Linked DNA regions of Sus scrofa. The protein of the gene in region 3 purifies or fractionates together with the protein of the main gene of each other region. This does not show direct contact. Links are inferred from orthologs where the notes say so. Each region holds a gene or a part of one and is shown on either strand. Other genes may lie near its edges.

Region 1 (4,183 bases), on a different chromosome or scaffold from region 3:
TGAAAACACAAGTTTCCAAATAAGCTGTCACCAAAACCCAATAATTTTTAGGGATGAGAAGGGTTAAAATACTTTTACGCCAAACTAATGTAACTGGAGTTTAGCAAGTGAGTGAATTAAAAGTGAAGAAAATAAACTATCCTTTAGGACGTCCCATGCGATCTTCTCCAAAACATACATGTTCTTTAAATGGAAATAAATTTTTCCAAGGTCTACCCAGGCTGAGGCATTTCTCCCCATAGCAATGATAAAAATGTCTAGATAAGGATGTCTAAGTTCATTGGGAAATCAACTTCAGTACAGTTCATTATTAAATTTATTACCCAAAGGTCCCAGGCCCTGGTCTCTGCCCTCCGGGACTCTATTCTTGAGAAAAGGGGCCCTGTTTCTCATTTCCTGCCAAACTTCAGTTCTAGGTATGGAACAGGTGCTCAGGGAGTACGTGATTTTACCATTTCAGGGCACTACAGAACCAGGAAAAAAGAAACAACCAAACAAATAAAACTTTGGAAATCATCTAAATGCAACACATGTGTTCACTTTGGCTAATAAATTCACAAATGAATAATTTATTCAATGCGCATATTTTCCATCTGAATGAATCCTACAGAACTTGGAACGTAACATCAAACCACCGCGACGCCACTTCTGTCTGGACAGAGGGGGCAGCTATGCCAGAAACGAGCGCAGCCCATCCCGGGCTCCAGAGGGCAAGCGCCGGGGAGAGTGCCTAGCACCTCGTCCAAGGACTCGACTCCCGGCGATCCTGCTGGGAGGCCGGGAGCGGGGTTGGGAGGGGGAAGCGACCAAACCCCGGCACCCAGCGCCAGGGAGGAGGGCGCCCGTTTCCTTGACAACCACTCCTGGGCGCAGCCATACCAAAGGACCGGGGGAGGGGAAGGGAAAGGAAGGGAGCGAGGGAACCCCCCACCCCACCCCGCGCAGGGGCAGCGGCGGCGGCCGAAGGCACCTCGGAGGCTCAGCAGCTGCAGGCCCGGCTCGCGGGGCCCTCTCCGGCCTCAGCCGGCGCCTACCGTGTATCCCCGCTCCAGGTCACTCTCCTCGTAGCGAAAGGACGGGATGTAGACCTCCATGGCCGCGCCAGCTAGCCCGGGAGGGCGAGCAGGGGGCGGGCTCACGGCGGCGGCCGCGGCCGCGACTCCGCCCCCGGCCCGGCCGCCCCGCCTCCCTTCCCGAGCCCCACGGAGCTGGAGGCTACGTGGCTCCGACCCGGATCCTCTGCGGACCCCGCCGCTCGCAGCGCTCTAGGAGGGCCCCGCCTGGAGCCCAGTGTGGGGAACCGAGGGCGTAGGGCTCTGGACGTCTGGATTCCGGGCCCAAAGCGCGGCGATCAGCAGTGCCCAGAGGAGGCGGGGCCTGGAAACCTGTGAGTCTGCAAAAAAGGGGTGTGCGCTCCACTGCGGTCGGGCGCCAGGGACAGGGCCGCACCCCGGCGCTCCCTGCCCTTGAGGCTCCAGTGTGCACTGGATTTGCAGTTTGCCAGACACCACCCTGAACAGACTGCAAGACGCCAAGGAGTAGAAGAGCTTCTTGATTTTGTTTTGGTTAAATTTTCCTTTTAGCCCTCGGCTGCCATGAAGAGCCGTGAACCCTGCACGACTTTTACGAAGACTTTTCTGTTTCCCTTCGATTCCAGGGTCAGTGCCTTGCTTTGCTTCGCTGTCGAACCTGGGAATCATGCTCTAATGCATAGCCCGAAGGTCGGCGGCTCACTGAGATAAACAGTCCGGTTTCTTGCTTCAGTTCTAAAATGCTGCGTCTAAGTAACTACACAGATCTTTTTACCTGTAAGAGAAAAGAGAAGGGGGAGGGGAAGATGAGGGCTGAGATTTGCCCCTCGGGCTTTGAGCTACAGATTACTGATCAAGCTTTTATTATACTTTTTATACAATAGCACAAACGATAACAGCCTACTACTAGTAGCCTGACATATATATTTTTATCTGGCATGGCTCACCTATTTACCCATTAGAGTTAAAAGTTAGAAATGTATCAGTCCAAAAAAATCTGACAGGTGGTCCAAATGAATCCTCCCCCCCCCTTTTTTTTTTTTTGCTGTATTTTACTAACTGTGTATAATTTAATTTTGCTTTGCTGAAAATATATGCAAGCCCTCAATATGCGGGTATGTTCTTGAGGGTCTTGCAGTTCAGCTATAATTGTTATAATTTTGGTTATTTCAGATGGCATAATTAAAGCTCAGAGAGGATAAATAGCTATGAAATTACAGGCTAATAATTAGAAGAGCTAAATTTCTAATCACGTTCTGTGGGCAACCACTATAAAGGAAAGAAGAATGGCACTGCAGTGAGAGAACATGGCAAATGTATTATCCCGATGCTCTTACATATCTTTTAGTATGACTCTACAATCTGTGACAGGTCAGCTGTCTTCTCAGAACATTAAGAAAAATACATGACAAATACATACATAAGAAGTTGAGGAGTTCCCACTGTGGTGTGACATTATGAGTGGAGTCTCTGCAGTGCCAGGACACAGGTTCCATCCCCAGCCCAGCACAGTGGATTAAAGGATCCAGTGTTTGCTACAGCTGCAGCATTGGTCACGACTGTGGCTTGGATCTGATCCCTGGCCCAGGAACTCCCTATGCTGTGGGGTGGCCAAAAAAGAAAAAGAAGAAGAAGAAGTTGAGAGGGAAGATTGCTGCCATGTCCTGCCCTGATGTCTGCCCCACATGATGAGCTGTCATACCAGGACCTTGCTTCAGACATGTAAATGTCCCCATCCATCAGACACCACTGTCTCTGTCGCTGACTCTGGGCTCTTTCTTCATTTTTTTTTTTTTTTTTTTTTTTTTTTTTTGCCTTTTTGCTATTTCTTTGGGCCGCTCCCGCGGCATATGGAGGTTCCCAGGCTAGGCGTCGAATAGGAGCTGTAGCCGCCGGCCTACGCCAGAGCCACAGCAACACGGGATCCGAGCCGCGTCTTCGGCCTACACCACAGCTCACGGCAACGCCGGATCGTTAACCCACTGAGCAAGGGCAGGGACCGAACCCGCAACCTCATAGTTCCTAGTCGGATTCGTTAACCACTGCGCCACGACGGGAACTCCTCTTTCTTCATTCTTAAAGCTGGGCAAGTAGAGTCTTTTCAGGCCTGTGGGGTTCAGCCCAACAACCACCAAAGAATAAGCCTAAAAAAATTGTCACTTCCCTTTAAAGAAGTGTCTCAGAGTAAACAAGAAAAGAAGGAATTCAGCTGAGGGTGGATGTGCTGCAGACCAAATTGAGTTCAGATCTGCTCAGTTTGTCTACTTACTCTCCAAGGACAAGCAGCATCTGAGGAGAAAGTCAGAGCCTAAGCCAGATCCCACAGATGACACTCTCCTCTCACTTCCCGCCCACTAACATTCCATGGACTGATGAGGCAAGGAGACAAGATGGCAGAGTAGAAAGGCTTGAGCTCACCTTCGATCATGAAAACACTAAACTCACAACTAACTGCTGAACAACCATCAACAAAGAAGACTGGAACCTACCAAAAAAAAGATACTCTACACCCAAGGACAAAGAAGAAGCTAAAATGAGATGGTAGGAGGAGTGATTTTGCAGTATAATCACATCCCATACCCACTGGTGGTTGACTCATAAACTGGAAAATAATTGTATTACAGAGATCCTCGCACAGGAGTAAGAGTTCCGAGCCCCATGTCAGGCTCCCCAGCCTGGGGGTTTGGTATAGGGAGGAGGAGCCCCTAGAGCATTTGGCTTTGAAGGGCACCACAGGGCCCGGGGAAACAGAGACACCACTCTTGGAGGGTGCACACAAGGTTTCTCCTGTGCTGGGCCCCAGGGCAGAGCAGTGACTCCGTAGGAATCTGGACAGACCTACCTGTGGGTCTTGGAATGTCCCCTAAGGAGGCAAAGGTTGGCTATGGCTCACTCTGGGGGCAGGACACTAGTTGCAGAGGCCCCAGGGAATAATCATTGAGGTGAACTCCCCCAGAGGTCACCATTTTGGAAATGAGACCTGGCTTTATCCAACAGCCTACAGGCTCCAGTTTTGGGAAGCCTCAGGTCAAACAACCAATGAAGTGGGAATAGAGCCATATCAGCTGACAGATTGCCTAAGGTCATCCTGAGCCCAGAGCCACCTCTAAACACACCCCTTGACACAGCCTTTGCTCACTAGAGAGATGCCT
Region 2 (3,500 bases), on a different chromosome or scaffold from region 3:
CTGAAAATTAGGAGGGATAATAATTTTGCCAGCAGGAACCTGTAGAATAATCTTCTCTCCCTCAAACAGCCAGAGGTCCCACTTGGACTGATTGATAAGCAGGGCCCAGGGTAGCAGTTCTATCAACAAGGTCCTCACATATGGCTTCCAGGCTGACAGCTTCACTCGCATCGGGCTGTCCCACTGGCTCAGCTGCTCATTCCTATGCCAAATACCACATCCAAGAGACTCAATGAAACATGATGACTTCTGGATCCATGAAGTGTGTTTAAGGATTCCAGACACACAACGCTCCTGTATGACACCTCTTCACACTAGAGTCATGCCTTGCTGCATTTGCATTCAGGAGAAAAGCTTTTCATGCAATTATGTTCTAGATTAGGAATGAAGCAATCTACAGAATACATCTATTAGGTGATAAAAGGTCAGAATCTGGCATATATATACAAATATCTTTTTAAAAACATTTTTATGGTATCTAACATTTTTGGGAATGGTTGTTCACTCCTTAAAACTGAGCAATGTTTGTAGACAAAGACTGCTGGAGAACATACCTGTCAGAATCCTTTTTATTATAGGGCCACGTGGGTTGAAGGGACTTTTCTGGCCCATAGAATTCGTCGAGGATCTGATTAACTGTCCCTCCTGGGTGTATCTTAGTGGCTATTTGCTTAATGAGGGATGTTGAGATGGGGACGGCACAATGTGATGGATCATCTTCTTCTCTAGAGAACACAAAGAAAAAGCAAGAGTGATTATCAGATGTATTATAAACCAATACTTTTTCGTGAGAATGAGTCAATGTTTGATGATTTGGGGATGATGACACAGTTTTAGAATAATCTGGGCTGTGGCCTCCCCCTCCCCCCCAACGCCTGTGAGGTTCATCTCTTGCTCCTCTACAGAAATGATGTGTCAATTAAATGTTCTGATCATCCCTCTGATTTATTTCTAAAGGTGCTGAATTTTATCTATAGAATATGAGAATACCAGACAGGGCAACTTTAAAACAACATTCTCCTAAGATAAGAAATCATACGAAAACCCTCTATCCTCCCATTTCCCCTCAGTGGGACAAGGTTACATTTCTACGGAATCTCTCTTGGAAGATATAAGGACTTTCCCAGTACCTTGCTTGAAATGTTAGGTGATGTACAAGGTCAGGTTCTATGTTTTGCAGTGGTTTTTCCTGTCCTTTTCCTGGAATAACTTGTGTTTCACTCAATCCAAGACTCCTTTTCTCCAAATGTATGATAATGGGGTCTGGAAGATGACTCCTCATGATAAAAAGAGGGCTGAACACAATCTATAAAAATAAAAGGACAGAACAACTTTCATATTTGCTTTGTTGCAGTATTCCAGCTGTTCGATGCCGAAACAAACTTGTAATAAATCTCTTCCCTGGGTCACTCTGACCTTAATTTATTTCAGAACAGGAAAGGTCAGAGTCATATACCATATTTTAGGATTGCAAAGCACTTACCATTCGCTGTTGCACTTGAGAACTGGGTTCTAAAGTCAAAACTGTGCACCAGACATAAATAATGGAACTGTTTGAAGATGGCACCTGCACATGAGATAGAAAAGGGTCCTATTAAATACTAAAAAGTTTACTAATTAATCCAAGTGAGACACAGATATAATATCTGTCTGGAGGATACAGAAAGCCTAATGTTAGAAAAAAAGCCACGTTAAAATAACCAAGCAAAATCAAACTTCATTGTGGCCTAACGTGAATGTGCAGTGAGTCAAGGAGCCCAATTCGTTCCATAAGGATGAAGGGATGTGTACGCAGAGAGATTGATTCAAGAGTCAGTGGGAGAATGAAAGAGATGATTTGTCCTTTATGGGAGTGAATGTGATGGCAGAGATGGAGAAAGAGATAAAAAAGTAGCAGATCATCAAAAAGATTCTCAAGTGGGGGGGACACCCTTTATTCCCTCCCATCCCCCCAAAGCCCTGGTACATCAGAATCTTTTTCAGGATGTAACCCATCTCCATCTGGGAGGGTTAGAGTCTTGGATACTGGAAGTGATTCAACTGTGTGGTCGTGGGATGGGGAGGAGGGAGTTTGAGAAGTGATATTCAAAGCCTTGTTATATTACTCCTCTCTTTTGTACATGTCACTTATTAATAAATTGAGTGGGGGTGCTGAGTAAAGAACATAATGAGAAATTTTAAATTTTAAAGCCGCACCATTCTAGATGGTACTACTTCTCATACCTGAATGACAACGCTATACTCAGGGGCCTTGGATTCCAGGCACACGTCTCTCGACCAGTCTTCATCTCCTTTGGCCCTCACACACAACTCGGTCAGTTCACTGTTTTCGAGTATGTATGAAGGCAATTTCTGCTTGGCTGTGAGGCAGTCAAAATGTTCTCGAACCACAGCTTGTCCGTCTTGACCAATGTAATGCTGAACAACTTTTAGTTCTATACTTTGAGACAAGTAACTACAGATAATCTGTCTTCCACAGATGATAATCTAAAAGACAATCAATCAATCAATCAATGAGACTTCATCAATTCAGATTCCATGCATTGGAAATAGAGGCATACCTTGGAGATACCACAGGTTTGGTTTCAGACCACCACAATTAAGCAAATATCAAGATGAACCCAGTTACATAAATTTTCTGGTTTCCAAGTATATATGAAAGTTCTGTTCACACTATATTGTCATCTTTCTGCCCCGGAATGCAGCAGCTTGATGTGGGATCTCAGTTCCCAAACCAGGGACTGAACTCGAGCCATGGAGGTGAAAGTGCTGAGTCCTAACACTAGACCATCAGGGAACCCCTTACTGTAAACTACTGAGTATGCCAAGCATTTTGCTTTAAAAAACAAAAACAAAAAACAAAACAATGTAATACATTAAAAAATAATCTTTTTGCTAAAAAAATGTTAACCATTATCTGAGTCTTCAGTGAGTTGTAATCTTTTTGTAATAGTAACATCAAAGATCACTGATCACAGACCACCATAACAAATGCAATAATAAATGAAAAATATTGCTAGAGTTACCAAATGACACAGAGACATGAAGTAAGCAATTGCTGTTAGAAAAATGGCTCTGAAAGACTTGCTCCATGCAGGGTTGCCACAAACTTTAAATCTGTAAAAATGCCATATCTGTGAAGTGCAATAAAGCAAAGTGCAATAAAACAAGATACGCCTTATGTAATTGTTCAGACGGAGCAAACTGTGCTGATTTTCATGGAAAGAAAATGAAATCATAGGCTTATTTAGAGAGTATGAGAAGAAAAAGAGGCTTGGAAGGAGAGAAGGGACTTTGCTCTGGTCATGAGGCCTTTGCAGGACTCAACTAGTATAGGCAGGATCCATGCCCAGCTAGAAATACCGGTCATGTGCTTGAGAGTGAAGGAGAGGCTGGAGATAAAATACTGGTGAAATAAATGCCTTGTAAACGTGCAGACAGAAAGGCACTTTACCTGGAAAAGTGAGTAGAGGCTCAAGCCCAGTAACTGGCCGACACTT
Region 3 (3,500 bases):
ACGCGAGCCGGAGGGCCGGCCGCCGGCAAAGCGGGTGGCGGCGCATGCTGGGGCGCCAGGACACTCACCCGTGTGTGAGGTAGGGGTGAGGGGGGTGGGAGGGGCCGCCTCCTGGGTCCCCCTCAGCCGGCCTGAGGCCGTGGAGGGGAGGCCGCGGGTGGCTGGGTTGCGGGAGTGTCTCAGCCGCTCCTCTCGGTCCCGGCGCTCCCGCTCGGCGTCGTCGGCTGCCCGGCTGGCTCCCTGCGAGGAAAGAGGGCGAGACCAGGACTGAACTGGGCTCGGCGATTCTCAGCCACTGCTCCAGCGACGCCGGGCATGGGGGTCCGTGGGCCGGGGCAGCCGTCGCCAGCCACGCAGCAGCCCAGCGGTCCCCCCCGGAACCTGGCGGCCCGGCCCGCCGGTGCGCAGAGAAAGCCCCAGCCGCCGCCTCCTCAAAGCCGGGACCGGCGGCGCCCAGCGGCCCTGCCCCGTGGGACGGGAGCCAGCCTGGGTCAGAGGTGGCCCAGCCCCGCGACAGTCGGGGCCCGTGAAGCCGGAGGGAGAAGCAGCACTCGGTCGGCTGAGGGCTCCAGCCAAAGCCCCGAGCCCAGAGCCCCAGGCGAAGGTCACGGCGGCGCGTAGGTGACGAGGCGGCCGGGCTGCTCCCGGAACAGTGAAGTGTAACCGGAAGCCTGGGGGCACCTGAGGAAGTGCGGTGCTGGCAACCGTCCTAGTCAAGGGCACTCCCGCCGGCCCTCGCAGCCCCCGGCTCCCGAGCTGCCCCTGGCGCAGCCACGCCCTTCCGTCCAAACCGCACAGGCAGCTCTCTGGGCACAACAGGGACCAGCGGTGCCAACACGGTGCAGACGGCAGGTCCGAAATCATCTTCCGGAGAACAGACCGTGGCAGAGCGGCTCTGGCAGGAGGTCCAGCGCGGTGGCAACTCCGGGCCACCCACACCCCCCTCCCCGGGGCTGTCCCGACGGCCACCCTGACAGAGGGGCCTGGCTCCCAGGGGACACGGACCAGGCCTGGCGCTGGCCCCACTGCAGGAGGCTGCAGCCACCTCCACCTGATCCCGGGGTGAGCACTGCACACCTGAGGCCCCGGGAAGGGGCTGCCTGCCCTGCGCTGGGGCCTCAAGGGGAGGTTCTGTCCCCATCAGGTTCCGTCACCCCAGAAACGTGCCTGCTTGGGCTTGAAGCGCAGAACCAAAAACTTAGAACCAACTTTGAATGAAACACTGGAACGCCGGCAGTGCTTCCCGAAGACTGATCGAGTGCATTCGACAGACTCAGCGACAGGAGGCCTGTCTCAGAGCAACACCAAATCGCCAGCCTGCTCGGCTCCTGCTCACGCAGCCAGGCTCCCGCCTCGGGAACACATGGCGCCCCTCGGAGGCCGCGCAGGGGAGGAGGCAGGTCCTCACCCCAGGGGGGCAGCCACGCCCCAGTGACCCGGCCACCCAGGCCACCGGCTGCACACCCCAGGATGGACGACGACGACGACAGTGACCTCAGGGGGCAGGCCTGCACCACAGACACCCCCGTGGCCCTGGCTGTCCTGGAAGGGCCTTCTTGGTCTCGGAGGCCCTCGCGCTCCCCACATCAGCGACGCCACCCGAAGCCCGCCCTGTGGCGTCCGAGGAGGGAGGGGAAGGCTCGGCGGCGGGTGGCACACTTACAAACTTGAGCATGTTCCAGTCAAAGACGTAGTCGTAGGAGAAGCCCTGGCGGTGGAACAGGTTCCTGAAGAGCTGCCTCAGGTACGAGTAGTCAGGCTTGTCATCAAAGCGCAGGGAACGGCAGAAGTTCAGGTACGTGGCGAACTCGGCTGCAAAACACGGGAAACTCAGGGTAACCAGCTGTGGCCCGACCGAGGGCCGCACGGGTCTGTCAGCAGGACCCCTGAGCAGGCCTGCCACGTGCCGGACGTGAAACGCGGGCACACACTGAGCAAAGAGGCTGAGAAAACAGTGCCGCGGAGCCTAGGCTTCATTGGGGGAACCTTCCCCAGGGGGCGCCCGATGAAAACGAAGGGCCCCGGGAGGCACGGCTTAGGAAGACAGGGGAGCCTTCTTCTAGGGACAGAGGCCACCTGCCCCTGTCCCGCCCCAGCGCAGGGGTGTGGGCAGGGCCTCGGCCCGTCCCTGGGACACTCACGGGGGTGTGGGGGACCCCGCCCCCCAGCCTCGGTCCCCGTCCCTGGGACACTCACGGGGTGTGGGCGGCCCCGCCCCCCAGCCTCGGGCCCCGCCCCCCGTCCCCGGGACACTCACAGGGGTAGCCTTTGCAGAGCACCTCGATGGGCGTGGACATCTTCTTCTCGCTGATGCGCTCGTACTTCTGGCGCTTGGTGGCCGCCTTCAGGCCCTGCCAGGGCAGCGAGCCCAGGTTGAAGTACATGAGCACGTAGCCCAGAGATTCCAGGTCGTCCCTCCGAGATTGTTCTGGGAAGAGGGCCGAGGGTCAGGGCGGCACGCAGGCCTGCGCGGCACAGGCCGCCCCTGCTGTGCTGCCGGGAGGCGCTCTCAGCCCGGATGGCAAGGGCGGCAACAGCGTCGCGGGGGCCGCCAGGGAGCCAGCCCGCGCCCGCCCCACCCCAGCCGGGAAGGGCCCGGGCCTGGAGGCCTCACCGATGCCGAGGTGCGTGTTGATGGAGGCGTAGCGCGCGGTGCCGGTGAGGTTCTTGTTCTCGCGGTAGGGGATGTGCTGGTGGGTGCGGGCGTCCCGGTACTTCTTGGCCAGCCCGAAGTCGATGATGTACACCAGGTTGCCCTTCTTGCCCAGCCCCATGAGGAAGTTGTCCGGCTTCACGTCCCGGTGGATGAAGTTCTTCGAGTGGATGTACTCGATGCGGCTGATCTGCGGGGAGGGGGGGAGCCAGGTCAAAGCCCAGGGGGCCCCACAGGAGACCGGTGCCCACACTCCGCAGCCCTCGGCGTCAGAAAGGGGCACAAAGGAAGCACCCACGTGGTGCAGGTTGTAGCTGCAGCTTGGGCGCTGTTCCTGGCCCAGGAACTTCCCTATGCTGCAGGCACAGCCAAAAAAAACCCCCCAGCATCCTACACCAATTTAAAAACGTGTGGGGGCACCGAGCCGATCCCTCCGGCCCCGTCCTGGGCTCTCACAGGGGGGCAGCCGCAGCCTGACGTGACAGCTGTGCTGTGGACACAAAGCCCTGGAGGGCCCCGAGCCCTTCCTGCCCTCCCCATGCGCTCGCAGGCCCTGCACTGTTGAGCCAGACCCAGCGTGTGACCTGAGAAGGCGCTCTCACCATCTGGTCAGCGAGCAGCAGGACGGTCTTGAGGCTGAACTTCCTGGAGCAGAAGTTGAAGAGGTCCTCCAGGCTGGGCCCCAGCAGCTCCATGACCATGACGTTGTAGTCGCCCTCGGCCCCACACCACCGGATGGTGGGGATGCCCACTGCAAGAGAGCCAGCGTCAGCCCGCCCCCACCACCCTGGGGCACTGCGCTGGCACCAGTGACCAACTGCACCAGCCCCTCGATGAGGAGTGGGGG
Region 4 (4,077 bases), about 53 Mb from region 3:
CCAGAAAAAAACAAAGCCAGAAAACACAAAATAAAGGATTCGGAAGCCTGGATTCTCAGTCTTCTCTCCTTGAAAATGTCCCCCCAACTCCTATACTGTGGCCTAATCCCTGGTCCTATCAGACACCTCTTCTGGAGACACGGTTTTTCTTCGTCCTCAGCACTCCTCAGGGCTTTAGATGTGACCTCCCCCGACACAGGCAGTCCTTGCCCTCCGCCTCCATATTTTTCTCTGGCGTGGACAAAAGGGTCCAGGGCTCCAGCAGCTCCCACTTGCTCTCAAGGCTCTAACCGAGATCCTGCCTCCCGATCCCCACAGTAACCAGGCCCTGCTGCCGTCAATGGAAGAGAGGGGGCGGGAGACGGCGGTGACGTCAAAGCGGAGGATGGGGCGGGGCGAGGCAGCCGGGGAATGTGGGGCAGGGAGGCCGGAGAGGCAGCGGTTTGGGAGGCGGCCAGCCCAAGAGGGCGGCGGCCAGCGCACTTGGGAACATCATGTTCTTTTGGCTGGTAGCCCAGGACATGCACCCAGCCTGGGCGCCTCCCCCAACCCAACGACAGCCGTCCGGTCCCAAAGCCAGGGATTCCTGGAGAGAGGATTAGGAGGAAGGGGTGCTTCCCCCGCCCCCACTCCAGGCTCTCTTCTGGAGACTCGCATCCACCCTCCCTCGGCTGGTTCCTACAGCTCCTGGCATTGGCTTTCCCCCCTCCCAGACTGTACACATCTGCTGGCCCGGTCCCAAAGAGCCAGGGCGGGGAAGTTGGAGGCCCAGGTTCTGCAAGAGAACACGCACCTTTGCTCCTTCCCTGAGGCCCCCTTCAAAGCCTGAATGTCTTGTTACCATGGCAGCAGAGAGAGGGAGGAGGGACAGGGAGGAGAATGGGTCAAGGATGAGGAAATCGAACTGGGACAGAGCAAGTGGCCCAGCCTGGGGCCTGGATCTTGGGGGAGGGATAAAAGAGAGGAATGAGGGACTGGGGCTGGTGCTCCAGCCCAGAAGAACCAGGAAGAGGAGAACAGGGAGGGAGTCACTAAAAGTTGCAAAAAAGCTTAAGAATGTGAGCATTGTCAGTCCCTAACCACAGCATTCACAGAAATCTTTCACCCATTCCTGTTACTGTCACCATACAGCCATATTTTTTAGCTAAAAAAAATTTTTTTTAAATATGACCCAGGCATTTTGCTGAGTACTTTACATACATTAACTTATTTAATCTTCAGAACAAGCCTGTGAGATAGATATCATTATCCCCATTGCACAAAGACCGACTAAGGCTCAGAAGTTACTAAACTTGCCTAAGTTGCTTCATAATATGTTCTCTGACTCTTAACAAATGGGGCCCAGGATTCGAATCTGAACTCTGTTAATGGCTTGTCGTTCTGGCTTCTTACCCTTCAAGAACCTGTGAGGTGTTACCACCTCTGGGGGACCTGGGCCTCTCAAATACCCAGCCCATTCTGAGTTTGGTGCCTGAAACACAGATGCCATCCCCCCCGCCCCAACAGTCAGTCTGCACTCTCTACACACTTCAAATCGCATTGTCCCAGTTTTCATATTCTCACAAAGTCCTTGAGATCACCCTGGCAGCCACTAGCCCCAGTGATCTGCTAGGAACCCCACTTCCTGACTCCTCCACCTCATCACAGGTCACTTTACCACAGGCCTGGTTACTTGTACAGACAGATACCAGAGCACCCAGTTCCTGCCTCCTCCCCTCCAAGGACTCAGGAAGACACACGTGCATCCAATCTGCACAAATCCATCCTCCCTCTTGAGATCCAATAGTTCCTACCCCACGCTCACTCCCAAGGATGGCTCCGAGGCCCAACCCCTTCTTTTTACACATGAGAGAGACATCCAGAGCCACAGCCAAGATGTGACTGGCTCAGGGTCACATAAATCATCACACCACCCTTTTTCAAGTCACCTTGTCAATCCCTTGGTACCCACCCACCTGCCCTACCAGGGCCTCTCTCTAGCTTCACAACTCCTGCTTTTTTTTTTTTTTTCCTTTTTACTGCTGGCCGCAAATGAGGCATGAGTTCCCCGGCCAGAGGTTCAATCGGAGCTGCAGCTGGAGCAACCGGCACAGCCACGGGCAACAAGGAATCCGAGCTGCATCTGCGACCTACGCTGCAGCTGATGATCCTTAACCCACTGAGTGAGGCCAAGGGATAGAACCTGCATCCTCACAGAAACGGCGTCCTTAACCGAAGAAGCAACAACGACGAGAACTTCTCCCTCCACCGCCCTGGCCTCTTTCAAGTGCTTAAGGCACCTACCCGAGCAACAGTCACGCACTGGAACGTCCCCCACTGGTTCTAAAGGGTCCGGTACCTCCTGGGAGCAGAGGTCTCAGCTCCCTCAGGCTGCCGAACGCTTCCGAACCCCTCCCCGCGGCAGTCAGGGATCCAGGCACCTTGGAATAGCGAGGGATCTTAAATCAGTGATTCCTGCTCCCTTCTCTCTAGAACTGAGTTCGCGGCCCCTATTCCCTGCAACCACTAGAGCTCCCACCGCGGCGATCACATATCCACACATTCTCCTTCACGGTACTGCATTAACATTCCTCCTTACGCCACGCGGGAAAAACCTATACCAATCGCCGCCGCTCCCCGCTCCCCACCCCACCACGCCGGAGCACTCACCGCTCGGCTCTCACGCGCGGTACAGTTTCTTCCCAACTAGGATCTCGGAGACTTGGACTCGCTCCTTCAGCCTCGCCCGCCGACCAGGACGCCACGCCCCTCAAGCTTATTGGCCTAAGGGCGCCGACCCATGCCCCGCGCCGCGTGCGGGGCCCCCCCCGCCTCCGCCCAGCTACCATTGGCACCGCCCGCCGCCGTCACCTTCTCATTGGTCAGTTTGCCTACCAAGCGACAGATCCACGTGCGGGAGGGGCCGCCCTAGCGCGTTGATTGGAGGTCTGAGGAAAGACACGCCCCCACTCACATCCGAAATTCTTATTGGCTGTGACTCCACCCCCGGCCTGCCTAGATTGGTGACGCAAACGTCAGTCCAGCCCTCCCAATTTTCTCATAGGCTGAGACATTCCGGAGCTGTAGAGGACACGTGCAGGCGGTCTCACGCGGCAAGTTGTTTACCTAGAAGCTGGGGATTTTCCTTGACGACACTCTTACCCTAGACTGCCGAGTCTGCGCAGGCGCAGATGTGAGCGCCCGTAACTTTGTGGGGGGCGCTTTGAGAGCCGTCCCGTGCGTGACAAGAGCGCCCCCGCGCTGGGACTCTGGACCTGAAACTCCCAGTAGCTGGAAGGTGTGAGCATTAGGTGAAGCGGTCTTCAGGTCTCCGTACCGCGTGACGATGATGACAAAAAGATGATAGCCACCTCCCAGATTATTTTCTGTGGCCAGGCCACGCGCTTCTTATAAAGCCGGAAGAGGCGGCGGCTCACTTCCCACCGCCTCACTAATGATACTGAGATTCAGAGAGGTTACATAATCTGTCCGGAAGAACAAGCTAGTCTCTAATGGGATCATGATTTGAACCCAGATCTCCCACATAAAGAAGGCGGGTCCAAGAGCCTGCGGGAATCCTAAGCCTGTAAAGAACTCAGTAGATGAAGGGTAAAAAGGCTCTTAGTACCTGTCCTGAAAATAGTAAGCCCTCAACAAATGGTGAACATTATGATAATGACTGTATACCTAATTATAAGAATCACTTGGTCCCTTACAACTGCTGACTCAATCTCCGGGGAAGGGGCCTGAAAATCTATTTTAAAAAGCATTCCTGGTAGTTCTCATGAGCCGACAAGTTTAGGAAACATTATCGAGATTTCCTATGCGGAACCCTCATGTTGCCGCCCAGAAAAATGGGCCCTCCGGAGCTCACCTAGCACTCCCACCTACTGTTGAAGTGCCCGGGGTCAGAGATGCAAGGGTACCACATCGGCTGCATTTGTTGCTGGAGATTAAGAGTTCAGTGTGGGGGTCCAGAGTCACCAGTCTGACTGCACACAGGGCAGGGGTGGCAAGCCCTGCAGCCGACTCCACACCACACTCACCTCTGTCTCCCTGAGCCGTTTTGTTCAATTAGTATTTATTAACCCTTCTGGA
Region 5 (4,022 bases), on a different chromosome or scaffold from region 3:
AATATGCCAATCTACCGCAAGACCCCCACTATAGCTACATATTATCTTTTGTCAAAAACCATACAGTATGATATTTACTGACATTCCAAACATCCTTTTTGATGACTAACACTTCTGTTCATAGGCAAGCTTTTGATTTACTCGTAATTTATTACATAAGTTTTCTTTTATGATGATCATAGTTGATGGGATGTAGAAACCCAAAGCAACAGAGATTCTGGAAGACAGGAGCTTACAGGGTATCTGCAGGACTCATTTCTGCGGTCAGTCCAGCTCCTCCCGGATCAGTTTTCTCTCCAAGTACCCCTGGGTCCTGCGATCAAATGTGTCAGAAAACTCACTCGATTCCAAATCCTAAAACAAAATTATATTATTTAAAACACATTTTTAAAAAGCAGACTGGTAATTTTGGAAGTCTCATTTTCATCTAAGCACCTACTATACTTTTTTAAGAACAGAAAATAGTGTCTCCAGTGCCATTCTAGTTTGACCACTATGTTTCAGCTCCTCTCCTATTTCCCTTCACCATGCCCTGTGGGAAGCTAACTTCTGTTAAATGAATGGGCAATAAGGGTCACACCCAGTTCTGTTTTAATACATCAACAACTCTCCATGTGCCGCAAAGTTTAAGTTGCATAGACAGGCTACTATGAAGCAGGGAAGTGACGCCGGTATTTCCTGCTTAAACACAGAACTGTTTTTAAAGAAATGGGCTTGTTTTGATAAGAGAAGGGCCCAGTGTTTAAAGCTGGTGTAAATAAACAGAAACACGTGGTCTGCGGAGAGACAACATCAAGTGTCAGCAGCTTAAGAAAAAGGGCCAGGCTTTTGCGGGAGGAGCGCAGCCACCGCGGAACGGTGGGAATTCCAAGCCTCAACAAGCCCTCACCACTGGACTATCGGAAACCAGAACGCGCCAACCTCCAAGGCTCCTCCCCAGCCTTCTCCGCCCATTCTTGCCACAGGGTCAATCCTCTCCGAGCCCGGGATACAAGAAACGACTCCTAAATTACCCCACACCGGGACTCTCCAAAGCCCCACCCTGGGGACCCGAAGTTGTGTTTTACCCGGGAAGAAGGAGGGAGATCCGCGAGAAAAAAGGTAACGGTACAGCCCGAGCTGGTCTCTCAGTATAGGTTTGGCCAAAGACCTGAATTAGGCGGGAGAGAAACAGCAGCTTTTTCTCGCGAGACTTCATTGATGACGTAGTACTTTAATTCTTCTCATTGGTTGAGGATGCTGTGAGGTCGCAGGGAAAGTAGCGGCGACGCCCCGCCCTCTTAGAAGAGCCAATCCTGAGTAGCCGAGGGGACGAACCCCGGAAGCGAAGTTCCCGGCGGCGATTTCCCCCTCCCGCAAGGTAGGTAGCTCTTTCTTATCCGGGGTCCGCTTCCAGCTTGCTTGGCGCCACCTAAGAATTCTTGGGCTCAAAGGGGCGGGTCACCTGTCGACCCCTGCGGAGCCCTGTAAATAGGGCCGCCGCATGGGTCCTAGGTAGAGCAGGAGCGGCTTCCTTGTCCTTAGCAGTTTGGAAGGCCGCAGACTCGACTTCCTGGCCAGTGAAGTGACCGGCGGGGACTGGTGGCCTTCTAGCCTCACTCCCACTCCCGAGATTGAGCATTCGGACTCTAGTTTGCAGGCCTTTCCCTGCGTCCTCTTACTGTCTCCCTGGATCCTTGGTTCAGCACATCTATGTTGCTTTGTGCAGACGGCAGTAAAACAGGGTGCAGTAAAAAATAATGTGAAACTTTTGAATTAGAAAATATGGACTTTCAGTTTCATTGAAAGTTGTTTAATCTATCTGAACCTCAGTGCCTTCACCTGTAAAATGGGGTTTACACACCCCCCACCCCTGTCACTGGGTTGTTTGTGAGGAGTTGATATAGTTTAGATCTCTATGGAATGTGATCTTTAGCAAAACATAGACTGTTTCTTCCTGGTGGGGTATCATCAAATAGGAGTCTTGATGGACTCTTTAAATCCTGAATCAGGAATATGCATCTCGGTTTAACTTTTTAAATCCGCTACAGAATCTTTATATGTAATTAATTTTATCTGGAACAGTAAATTCAAATTATAAGGAGCTTTTTTTTTTAAAGTACTGGATTTATTTTATTTTTTTAATGATTTTTATTTTTTCTTTATATTTGATTTACAGTGTTCTGTAGTTTTGGGGTTTTTTTTGGGGGGGGCAACACCTGTGGCATATGGAGGTTCCCAGGTCAAATTGGAACTGCAGCTGCCACCCTATGCACAACAACACCAGATCCAAACCATGTCTGCGACCTACACCACAGCTCACAGCAATGCAGGATCTTTAACCCACTGAGCAAGGCCAGGGATCAAACCTGAATCCTCTTGGATACTGGTAGGGTTCATTGCCACTAAGCCACAATGGGAACTCCGAGAGTTTTCATAAAAAGGAGGGGGGGGCCTTAAAATTTGTGCTATAATATTACTATAATTGATATAATTAACAAGTGAACTTAACATTATTTACTGGTATTTATTTAGTGTTTAATGAGTAGATGTATGATCTTTTATGTCGTAAGTTTCAGAGAATAATTTGAGAAAAAAGGAAAAAGTGAGATTATTAGAACATAAAGCCTTTCTGACAGGGTCTCTCTGTTGACTCTGAAACCTGGACAGTTTTTGGAAATCCTTTAGTAAAATTCTTATATTGTGCAACAAAGAAGTAAGTCCAGAGAAGGTACTGATCATATGTGATAGATTTAAACTTGAGTTTACTGCTCTTGGCACTAGTAATAAAGTGTAAAATGTAATGATGCATTTAAGATTGTATCAACTAAAATTTGTGAAATTAGGTAGGAAGAAATCATTGTGTTAGTGGTATGCCTAACTCTTGAGCTTCTCAGAACTAATTTCAAGTAAAATCAAGTGATAGGGCTTTAATTCAGTTTAATTTTGCAAGTATTTCTCTCTTTCTTTGTCTCTCTCTCTCTTTTTTTTTTTTTCTTTTTTCTTTCTTTTTTTTCCAAGGCCGCACCTGCAGCATATGGAAGTTCCCAGGCTAGGGGTTAAATCAGAGCTGCAACTGCCAGCCTACAGCATAGCCATAGCAACCAGGATCTGAACCTCATCTAAAACCTACACCATAGCTTGTAGCAACACCAGATTCATAACCCACTGAGCGAGTCCAGGGATGGAACTCACATCCTCACAGAGACTATGTCAGGTCCTTAGCCTACTGAGCCACAGTGGGAACTCTGAATTCTACAGATAGTTCTTAACACCTGCTGTATATAAGTGGAACACAAAGGTAAGTTAAATATAGCTCCTGTCCTTAAGCTGACAGTATTTTAAGAGGCTCAAACAAGAACAAAATTAGATAGTATGTAGCAGCAAAAAAAGTAGAAACGAGAGATGATTTGGAAGCTCAAGAAAGATTTAATGAGATAGGCAACCTCTGAGAAGAATCTTGAAAGACTGGTAAGGTTTCAACAAATATAGTTGGGAAGCCGAGAAATAATATTTTTTAAATATCTATGATTCTCATCTCTTTTATTGAAGTTTAATATGCTGAGTAACTCTCTAAGTTGATATTGGTTTATAAATTATTATGGCAGCCTAGCAGAGTAAATATTTCCTTCAGGAAGCCTTCTCTAATCCCTTAGGACTGGGTTAATGGCCTAGGTTATGACCTTCCTGTATATTCATTGTATCTGGACCTGGTCTTATCATGGTACTCATTACACTGTGTTTGCCAGTCTCACTGACTAGAGAGTAAACTTTTTTTTTTTTTGGTCTTTTTAGGGTCACACCTGCGGCATATAGAGGTTCCCAGGCTAGGGGTCAAATCAGAGCTGTAGCCGCTGGTCTACACTACAGCCACAGCAACACCAGATCCTTAACCCACCAAGCAAGGCCAGGGATCGAACCACAACCTCATGGTTCCTAGTCGGATTCATTTCCACTGCTCCATGATGGGAACTAGACAGTAAGCTTCTTGAGATTAATTGTTCATTATTGAACAATACTCAGAGACTGGCACAGACCAAAAA
Region 6 (3,938 bases), on a different chromosome or scaffold from region 3:
GCCCTCACTCTGATTCTGAGAGCAAAGAGTATAGAGGCGGTGGTAGGTGTGTGTCTGTGCCCAGGCCCAGGAGCATTTATTGTATTCAATCTGCTTTGTGTTATTTCACCTCTTTCTTCTGATACCAAAACCAATCAGACTTCCTGCCAATGCACTGCAACACATATCCCAAGTTGCCGGACTCTGTGGTCCACTTCTCTGGCTTTGCTGCACATGACAGCTTTAAAGACCCTAGTACCCAAGTCAATGAAATCAGAATTGGGAGAGAAGTGGGCCCAGCCATCTTTTAAAGATACTTAAATGATTCTCACGCGTGGCAAGGTTGACACCCATTGCTACAGTCTGTCCCCGATTTTATTTATTTCACAGCACTTAGTTCTACCAAGTTATAGCTGTTTGCTTGTCTTCCTACATGAAAATGTAAGCTCCAGGAGCTCTGGACACATCTGCTTGTTCCCTGCTGTGCTCCTAGCAGCCCCTAGAGTAGTGCCTGGCAGATATTAGGTGCTCATTAAACGCTCAATTAACATCTGCATTCCTACACAGCCTCTGACTTCAGGATTTGATATAGGCATCTGAGCTGCCACATTCTTTTTCTTTTACTCACTCAACAGCACAATTACAAAAGGGTGACCCACAAAAATCTCTAAATACCTAGTTTCTAGAGAATCTGAGTTTAATAAGCAACAGAGGTTTTGTTGTTGGTTTTTTTTTTTTTGTCTTTTTAGGGCCACGCTTGCGGCATTTGGAGGTTCCCAGGCTAGGGGTCAAATAGGAGCTGTAACTGCCAGCCTAAGCCATAGCCACAGCAATGCCAGATCCGAGCCGCATCTGTGACCTACACCACAGCTGACGGCAATGCTGGATCCTCAACCCACTGAGCGAAGCCAGGGATCCTTAACCACCGAGCCACAATGGGACCACCTGTTGTTGATTTTTAATCTCCACTACTGCAAAGGAACAGGCAATTTTATGCCACATTCCTCAAATCCCATAAAAGAAGAAACTCCTTGACAATGTAACAAACAAGTAGTCTGGAGTCTAATTACTCTGCTCTGACTGGCACACTGCCATCAGGAGAGGGGCAAAGTCTGAGGCTTAGTCCAAGCTAAGTCCACACTAGGGATGGCTGGTCATTTGAGGATGTTTGTCAGCCCAACCTCCTATCTAGAGAAACTGGAGCAAGGGCCGAGTAATAGAGCAGACTGAAAACTGTGTGGGCAGGCTCTCCACAGAACTATCTTTAGCTGTTCCCTCCATATAAATGGGGCAGGAGGGGGGCATTTAATAGACCCACTGCTAGAAGCACTCACTCTCCTAGCAGGGCACACACCTTGGAGAGGAAAGAATGGGGAGCCAGCGTATCCTGGGAATAACTCTGCCCCTCAGTGCAACAAGGCCACAAGCAAACACCTCCAGAACAATGCAAACAAACTAGAGGACGACTGCCAGACTTGTTAAAGAGAGACGGGTACACAATGTCTCAGAACACCTTTGTTTTAAACACTGGTTATGGAGAAAACACATCAACTACCTGTTAAACTTTTCCCATGATCCTGGGAGTCATCAAAGAGGGCCCCTTGGTATCACAGCTTGCCTGCTCCCAAATCTTAGCACATCAGCTGACAAGAGTCTAATCTACAGGCTCAACTGTCCTTTAAAATCAATCTCAAGAGAAGAGGAGGAAGTAAGGGACTCTTTGTTTCTTTTTCTTCTTCCTCCCCCCTCCTGCTTTTTTCCTTAGCAAGCCCATAGCTGCTGAGGGAATTCTCCAAAATAGGTTAAGTACTGCTGTCTGCTCTCTAGCCCAGGACACAGAGTGCCTCTCAATGAACGTGCCCTTGAGAGCATGTTCTTTTATTTACAATAAAGGAGCAAAGGCACCTGCCCTACCTAATGCTAAGTCAGAGTCTCTAGACACCTCCAGAGACTGGATGATCTTGGTGGAAGGAAGACAGGATAGGTGAAAAAATGAATTCACACAAACCAGAGGCTTAAGCTTAAGACGACCTTCAGGAGCGCTCTTGAAGAATGCAGGTGTCTGCCGTGCTATTTCAGAAACCTGTCCCGGCCCTCATACCGCAATAGCTCCCGTCCTCCCCTCCCTGAGCACAACCCTAAGAACCCTAGACCAGGAGTCCCTGTTCTGCCACTCGCCGGCTGCAAGTCCTTGGGCAGGTCAACTTTGTATCTCTAAGACTCCAGAGTCTCATCGGTACAATGAGGATCATGATTTTTGTTTCACGGGGACGTCGTGAGGACCAAAAGGGATAACACAGTGAGAACGCGCCGTGCCAGAGGTTGAGCCCTGGCCCACCCAAGCCCTAACTATGGGACTAATTGCTACCCACGTCGCGGCTTCTCCCCACTGGAGACTCAGCTGCGCCTCCCTGCCCCATCTCTTTCAGGTCGGGGGCTTTCAGCAGAGGGGACTGGGGCCAGAGCCTCCCCCCTCTTAGGGTACGTGCCTCAGAGGCTAGACTGCGCTCCCCGGACCCGCAAACCCGCCCGGGGCCCCCTCACCTCCACCGGTTGATCCCGACTGAAGAGGAGGCCGCGAACCAAGGGTCGAGGATGTAAACACAGCGCACGCAGTGCGCCCCGCGAACCGCCGCCAGCAGCGCCGGGTTGTCGTGGAGCCGCAGCCCCTTGCGGAACCAGTGCACCGAAGAGGCGCCTTCCGCGCCGGCAGCGGGAGCCGGGGAGGACGCCGCAGCGGTCGCCACAGCCGCCGCCATCATTGCCTGGACTGCTCTGACTGCGGCCGCTCCGCCCCCGTCGGCGCCGCGAGCCCGGCCCCCAGCTGGCCCAGTGACCTATGACGCGCCGCTACTCTTTGGAGCCCCGCCCTCAGGCCCTGGAGCGCCTCTGCTATTGGCTGGGCGCCTCCTGCCGGGCGATTGGTTAGAGGCACCATGTCTGGCCCCGCCTCCTCACGTTCCCACCATGTGTGGGCCCTGCCGGGAGGAGCCGGAGGGCTGGGCTAGTGACGCAGGCTGGCGGTCCCCAAGGAGGTCTGGGCGTGGACCAAGTCCGAGGAACGGCGGAGCTCAGCTTCCTTTTTTAGGGCCTGGCGCTGGAAGCTGTGTGGGCTGGCGAGGGTTGCTGTGACTCCAGCAAATGACTTAAAAGGACAGACCACCGGCTGTCCTACATCATCTTCGTCATCAATATAATCATCTACCACACTCTATACATACATCATTACAGCATTCTAATACAGCTTCCATTAGATGCCAACCAACGTGATAATACCCTTACGCTGCTGTCTCCTTTACTGCTGTAAACTCAGACGAGTTGCATTCTTTCAACAAACCCTAGTGAAAGAGCTGTTTTCATTTTACCGACAAAGAAAACCGAGGCTGCTGCAGGTTGAGTAACATGCTCAATATCATACAGCTAATACTTCTACCAGGATTATTCAGAATCTGAAGTTTCTGCTTTTATCCACAATACTACACCTCTGTCAGCGTTGAGCAACTTGGCATTTACAAGTAGTAGAGTCCAAAGTGTGGGCCCTGATGTGCTGCAGTAGAGGGGTTGGGATTAGGGACTGGAATTGTGGAGAATGTGGGTTGAGATTGTAATTAGGTCATCATTGGAATTCCCAGTTTGTGGCTCAGCGGTAATGAACCCGACTAGTATCCAAGAGGATGAGGGTTTGATCCCTGGGCTTGCTCAGTGGGTTAAGATCTGGTGTTGCTGTGAACTGTGATGTAGGCTGCAGACGCGGCTCAGATCCTGAGTTGCTGTGGCTAGCAGTAGATCCGATTCAGCTCCTAGCCTGGGAACCTCCAAACTCTGCAGATATGCTCTAAAAAGCAAGAGGGAAAAAAAAAAGCCATCACATGAATTTTTCTTTTAGTTCTGTCATAGACTTAGGGGTAACTCTGAGTGTAAAGGACTGAACTGGAGTCTGTGTGGGGTTCAGAGATGTG
Region 7 (4,030 bases), on a different chromosome or scaffold from region 3:
GAAGGAAGGAAGGAGGGAGAGGGGAGAGGAAGGGAGGCTGATGTTCTATTTGATTTACAAACTCCTCTGTCCTTGGCTTTGTTCAAGTTGGTCCCTTCACCTGAAGCCCTTCTTCAACATCCCTATAGCTGATCACATCTATGACTGAAGGTCCAGTTCAGGTGCCATCTCCTCCACAGAGCATTCCCCAATCTCTCACTCTCCCATTTAGTAGCAGTATCTCCAACCTAAATTGTCTTGACCCTGTATATATAAATATACGTAAATATACAAATAACAGGATGCCACGTAGATATATGGTATAAATAAAATAAAGGGGGGAGTGGAGGAAGAATGACCCAAGGGGCAGTGTAAGGACACGGAAGGTATCAAGCAAGACCTCTCTGAGGCGCTGATTTGTAACACGGGGTGTTTAATTCCACATACACTAATTGGGCACCAACATCTGTTTCACAAAATACTCTTCTTCACCTTTCCGCACCCTCTCCTTAATCTTTTCCCAAAAAAAGCCTGTTGCAGTGGCTTTCCAATATTGCTATTATTTTAGAGGAAAAAAATCCTACACAGGATGTTGACAAGTGCTTTACAAACAGGGGCAAATTTCAAGTCACACATACTCTGAAAAAATGTTAAGAGTAACTTGTCAGTGAGAAATCTGATGTCAAAAGGAAGCTGAACTACAAGAATTTACAATATAATGTCAAGAAAATGACTTAGCAACTCTCCAACTCTACAATCAGCACATTTACCTTCTAACATATAGGAAAAGAAGAAGAGCAACAAGAAAATATACCTGAAAGAGAGATTCTGCAGTTTTTCACTTAAGAATAGAAAAATGAGAATTTCCTCCCCCATTCAAAGGCCACTCTACCTACGACCTAAAGAAAACCAGCACACACTAAAATTTTCTTTCACAGGCTTCCGTGAGTTTGGAGGGCTTCGACCACTTGGAACTATGAGGTGCCTAAATACAAAAATCTAAGGGCCACAACCTTGTAAGTTAACTATACTCCAATCAAAAAATTTTTTTAAAAAATCTAAGGGCCAAAGTACTCACTTCCCTTTCTGCCTCAGATTATTCTGCCGATTCACTAGTACCCTGAATGAAATATCTGTGATCTACGCTATCTTTCAAAACTATTACTCTGATCCCAGTCAAATCTTTTCTCCTACTTCCATGATTACAAAATTCCCTCTTTCGTGAGAAAAAGAATGTATATATGTGTGTAATTGGGTCACTTTGATGTACAGCAGAAATTGGCAGAACACTGTAAATCAACTATAATAAAAAAATAAATAAAATAAAAATTCCCTCTTTCCTCTGCACTGTCATCCTATTTGCCTTGACTTTTTTCTTACCTAATGATTCAAATATTCTTCCAAGCAGACTTATACATCCCCAAAACTTATTTCTGCTTCAGGAGTTCTTAATCTTTTTCTGCCATGGATCTCTTTGGCAATCTGGTGAGGCCAATGGACCCCTTTTCAGATTGCTTTTAAATGCAAAATTAAGTAAATGCAACTACAAAAGAAATTAATTATACTGAACTATTAGCAAAACAATGAAAAACCCAAATACTGTGATGTATGCGCAGCTTTATTATCTCATTAAATAACAAGAACTAACAATGGGTCTAAAAATACCATAATTCAGAGAAATTATAAACATATATGATATTCTGAGATACCTGCAGCTGTAAACATGACACAAAAATATCTGCAAGAAAGTCACAGGCATTACTACAACTACTGTGATTTGTTGCCTATATTCCTAACTGAAGGAAATGACAATAGCTAAATAATAAAAATAAAGATGTAATTTTATTCCCTATTCTAGTTCAAGGACCCTCTGAATTCTATCCACCAATTGGTGAATCTCAGGTTGAAAATCATTTCTAGTTCAAAGCCTTGCTCAAACTGATTTCTGTCACAAAATTTAACATCAAAACATTGATTTCTCCTTTGACCAAGCTCTCATCTGAACATATCACCATGCCTCCTCGTTTGTGCAGATTTATACACACAACCCTGCTTATTTCTCTGATTTGCCTAACCAGCACCCTACTTAAATTTCGTCAGTCAGTAAAAGGCGAAGTGGAAGGAAAGGAGATGGGAGCAACCAACAGCTCCTCGTTACGGACCTCCAACAGGAAGTGGAAAGATGCCAAGTATGGAGTGTATGTTTACCGTAGGTGGACAGCCCCCCACGACTCGTCCCCTGAGTCCAGCCTGTCAAGAGTCTCCGAAGCAAGCCGTCTTCACCAGCGGCACTCAGGAGACATTCCACCTCCTCCCCGCCTCCCATACTCAGTTCTCTAGCTGCCAGGTCGCTCGCCTCTGGCCCTCACACGGAGCCGCCCGGCGGTCCTCCTGTCCCTTACCATCCCATCCCCCACGCGCCCCTCCCTCTCCTCCGCCCCAGGCTGTCCCGGCCCCGCGCGCCGCCACATCTCTCCCCTAGACCTACCCGTGTCCCCCCACCCCCATTCTCCCGACACTGGAGGGAAGGGCCCAGGGCCCAAGGGTCAGCGGGACCCGGCGGCCCGCCGTCAGGCGCAGACTGCGGCCCTAGGCCGGAGCAGCACGGCCGCCAGGCAAGGAGCTCGCACTCCGCACGGGGTGATCGGAGGCGTGCACTCACCCAGAAGATCGTGCAGAGAAAGGCACCGAGGTCTGCGCCGTCCTGCCACTCGGCCTCGGAACCGTCGCCCTCGCCGCGAACTGCCACCGCCGCTGCCGCCGCCGCCACTTGGCTTCCCTGCGTCCTGCGGCGGCGCTGCCGCCACGCCAAGGCGCGTGCGCTGCGCCGCGGGGACCCCTGGGACTGGTAGTTCGGGACCCGGCAGCCAGGGGTGCCTCTTCCGCTTTTTCCAGACAGTCGGCTGCGAGCTGGCGCTGTCTCGGTCGGCTGGGGTACCAAGCGACGGCTTCCGGAAAATTGTTCGTCACACGACGGACCTTGCTTCCGCATACGGTTCTGCTGGATGTGAAAAATTCGTCTGAGCAAGTATGTATAAAGTAAAACAATTTAGAGCATTTATGTTTTAAATAACAGCTGTCACTTGCCTAGAACGCATCATTCGAAACACACACACACACCCCTCCTTTTCCTTTCTGTTAAAAGGGTCATGAATTGCCTTTAGCGATATCTGAATTTTCACTTTTAAACCTGATTTCCCACTCCTTTTCTCAAATTTTACTGATTGTAATCTTGCCCATAGAGTTTTTTTAGGTCGATTGACAATTTATCTAAAACAAAATTGTTTGCAAAAAGCAATTCAGAGATATTCAAATATCAAGTTAACTGAGCTGAGCAGTCATAGAAACCTTACAGTTGGAAGACATTTGAAGGTCATTAGTCCAACACCCGCCGGGGCAGGAATTCCGTTTTGTACATTCCAAGACAGATGGTCATCCAACTTACATTTCAACAGGTCAGATTTCAAGGAGCTCACTTCCTTAAGTAAGGCAGCCTGCTCCATCGTTGGAGAGCTTTAAATGTTAGTAAGTTCTGCCTCCTGCTGAACCAAAATCTACTTCCCTTTTACTTCCTTCCACTGCTAGTGGTTATGCTGCCTGGAGCAATATAGAACATTTTCCACTTGACAGCCCGTACAAAAATTGAACACAAAGATTATATCCGCCAACGCTAGGCATCTCCAAGCAGTTTTCCAACAATTTCAAATGTGATTCAGCTCCCAGACTGCTTTCCATTTAGTCATCCTCCTTGATGTATTACCTTTAAAACTTGTCAAAATCTGCATCAGATTTATCACCTCATTTTATTACCACGAGAATGGTAATAAAATGGTTCAGCAGGTTAAGAAGCCCAGATAGTGTCTATGAGGATGCAGGTTTAATCCCTGGGCTTGCTTGGTGGTTTAAGGATCTGGCATTGCTGCCAGCTGCAGTACAGGTCGCAGATGCAGCTTGGATTTGGCATTGCTGTGGCTGTTGTGTGCTGGTGCTGCAGCTCCAATTTGACTCCTAGCACAGGAACTTCCATATTTTGCAAGTGTGACCATAAAAA

Evidence for each region.
Region 1: the proteins of CSNK1D (region 3) and SNX24 purify together in Homo sapiens (affinity purification with mass spectrometry; 3 studies listed by BioGRID and IntAct, counting the BioPlex papers as one, with this or other methods). This does not show direct contact. The link is inferred for Sus scrofa from reciprocal best matches to the Homo sapiens genes CSNK1D and SNX24.
Region 2: the proteins of CSNK1D (region 3) and VPS13B purify together in Homo sapiens (affinity purification with mass spectrometry; 3 studies listed by BioGRID and IntAct, counting the BioPlex papers as one, with this or other methods). This does not show direct contact. The link is inferred for Sus scrofa from reciprocal best matches to the Homo sapiens genes CSNK1D and VPS13B.
Region 4: the proteins of CSNK1D (region 3) and PER1 purify together in Homo sapiens (affinity purification with mass spectrometry; 4 studies listed by BioGRID and IntAct, counting the BioPlex papers as one, with this or other methods). This does not show direct contact. The link is inferred for Sus scrofa from reciprocal best matches to the Homo sapiens genes CSNK1D and PER1.
Region 5: the proteins of CSNK1D (region 3) and ANKRD49 purify together in Homo sapiens (affinity purification with mass spectrometry; 3 studies listed by BioGRID and IntAct, counting the BioPlex papers as one, with this or other methods). This does not show direct contact. The link is inferred for Sus scrofa from reciprocal best matches to the Homo sapiens genes CSNK1D and ANKRD49.
Region 6: the proteins of CSNK1D (region 3) and CRY2 purify together in Homo sapiens (affinity purification with mass spectrometry; 3 studies listed by BioGRID and IntAct, counting the BioPlex papers as one, with this or other methods). This does not show direct contact. The link is inferred for Sus scrofa from reciprocal best matches to the Homo sapiens genes CSNK1D and CRY2.
Region 7: the proteins of CSNK1D (region 3) and GAPVD1 purify together in Homo sapiens (affinity purification with mass spectrometry; 5 studies listed by BioGRID and IntAct, counting the BioPlex papers as one, with this or other methods). This does not show direct contact. The link is inferred for Sus scrofa from reciprocal best matches to the Homo sapiens genes CSNK1D and GAPVD1.

What each region holds. Positions count from the first base shown.
Region 1 is NC_010444.4:126,346,902-126,351,084, reverse strand, and holds the start of SNX24 (sorting nexin-24), read right to left. Parts: upstream 2,801-4,183; 5' UTR 1,095-2,800; coding exon 1,035-1,094; exon of another isoform or gene 971-1,034; intron 1-970. UniProt on the Homo sapiens protein: May be involved in several stages of intracellular trafficking.
Region 2 is NC_010446.5:37,141,842-37,145,341, forward strand, and holds part of VPS13B (vacuolar protein sorting-associated protein 13B), read right to left. Parts: intron 2,488-3,500; coding exon 2,224-2,487; intron 1,568-2,223; coding exon 1,484-1,567; intron 1,307-1,483; coding exon 1,131-1,306; intron 726-1,130; coding exon 555-725; intron 203-554; coding exon 1-202. UniProt on the Homo sapiens protein: Mediates the transfer of lipids between membranes at organelle contact sites. Binds phosphatidylinositol 3-phosphate. Functions as a tethering factor in the slow endocytic recycling pathway, to assist traffic between early and recycling endosomes.
Region 3 is NC_010454.4:785,859-789,358, reverse strand, and holds part of CSNK1D (casein kinase I), read right to left. Parts: intron 3,405-3,500; coding exon 3,256-3,404; intron 2,844-3,255; coding exon 2,615-2,843; intron 2,429-2,614; coding exon 2,258-2,428; intron 1,813-2,257; coding exon 1,664-1,812; intron 241-1,663; coding exon 69-240; intron 1-68. UniProt on the Homo sapiens protein: Essential serine/threonine-protein kinase that regulates diverse cellular growth and survival processes including Wnt signaling, DNA repair and circadian rhythms. It can phosphorylate a large number of proteins.
Region 4 is NC_010454.4:53,373,924-53,378,000, forward strand, and holds the start of PER1 (period circadian protein homolog 1), read right to left. Parts: upstream 2,801-4,077; 5' UTR 2,650-2,800; intron 2,421-2,649; 5' UTR 2,284-2,420; intron 1-2,283. UniProt on the Homo sapiens protein: Transcriptional repressor which forms a core component of the circadian clock.
Region 5 is NC_010451.4:26,633,394-26,637,415, forward strand, and holds the start of ANKRD49 (ankyrin repeat domain-containing protein 49), read left to right. Parts: upstream 1-1,222; 5' UTR 1,223-1,360; intron 1,361-4,022. UniProt on the Homo sapiens protein: Induces HBG1 expression. May have a role in spermatogenesis where it promotes autophagy in response to serum starvation, via the NF-kappaB pathway.
Region 6 is NC_010444.4:16,617,581-16,621,518, forward strand, and holds the start of CRY2 (cryptochrome-2), read right to left. Parts: upstream 2,801-3,938; 5' UTR 2,742-2,800; coding exon 2,524-2,741; intron 1-2,523. UniProt on the Homo sapiens protein: Transcriptional repressor which forms a core component of the circadian clock.
Region 7 is NC_010443.5:265,946,838-265,950,867, reverse strand, and holds the start of GAPVD1 (GTPase-activating protein and VPS9 domain-containing protein 1), read right to left. Parts: upstream 2,801-4,030; 5' UTR 2,642-2,800; intron 1-2,641. UniProt on the Homo sapiens protein: Acts both as a GTPase-activating protein (GAP) and a guanine nucleotide exchange factor (GEF), and participates in various processes such as endocytosis, insulin receptor internalization or LC2A4/GLUT4 trafficking.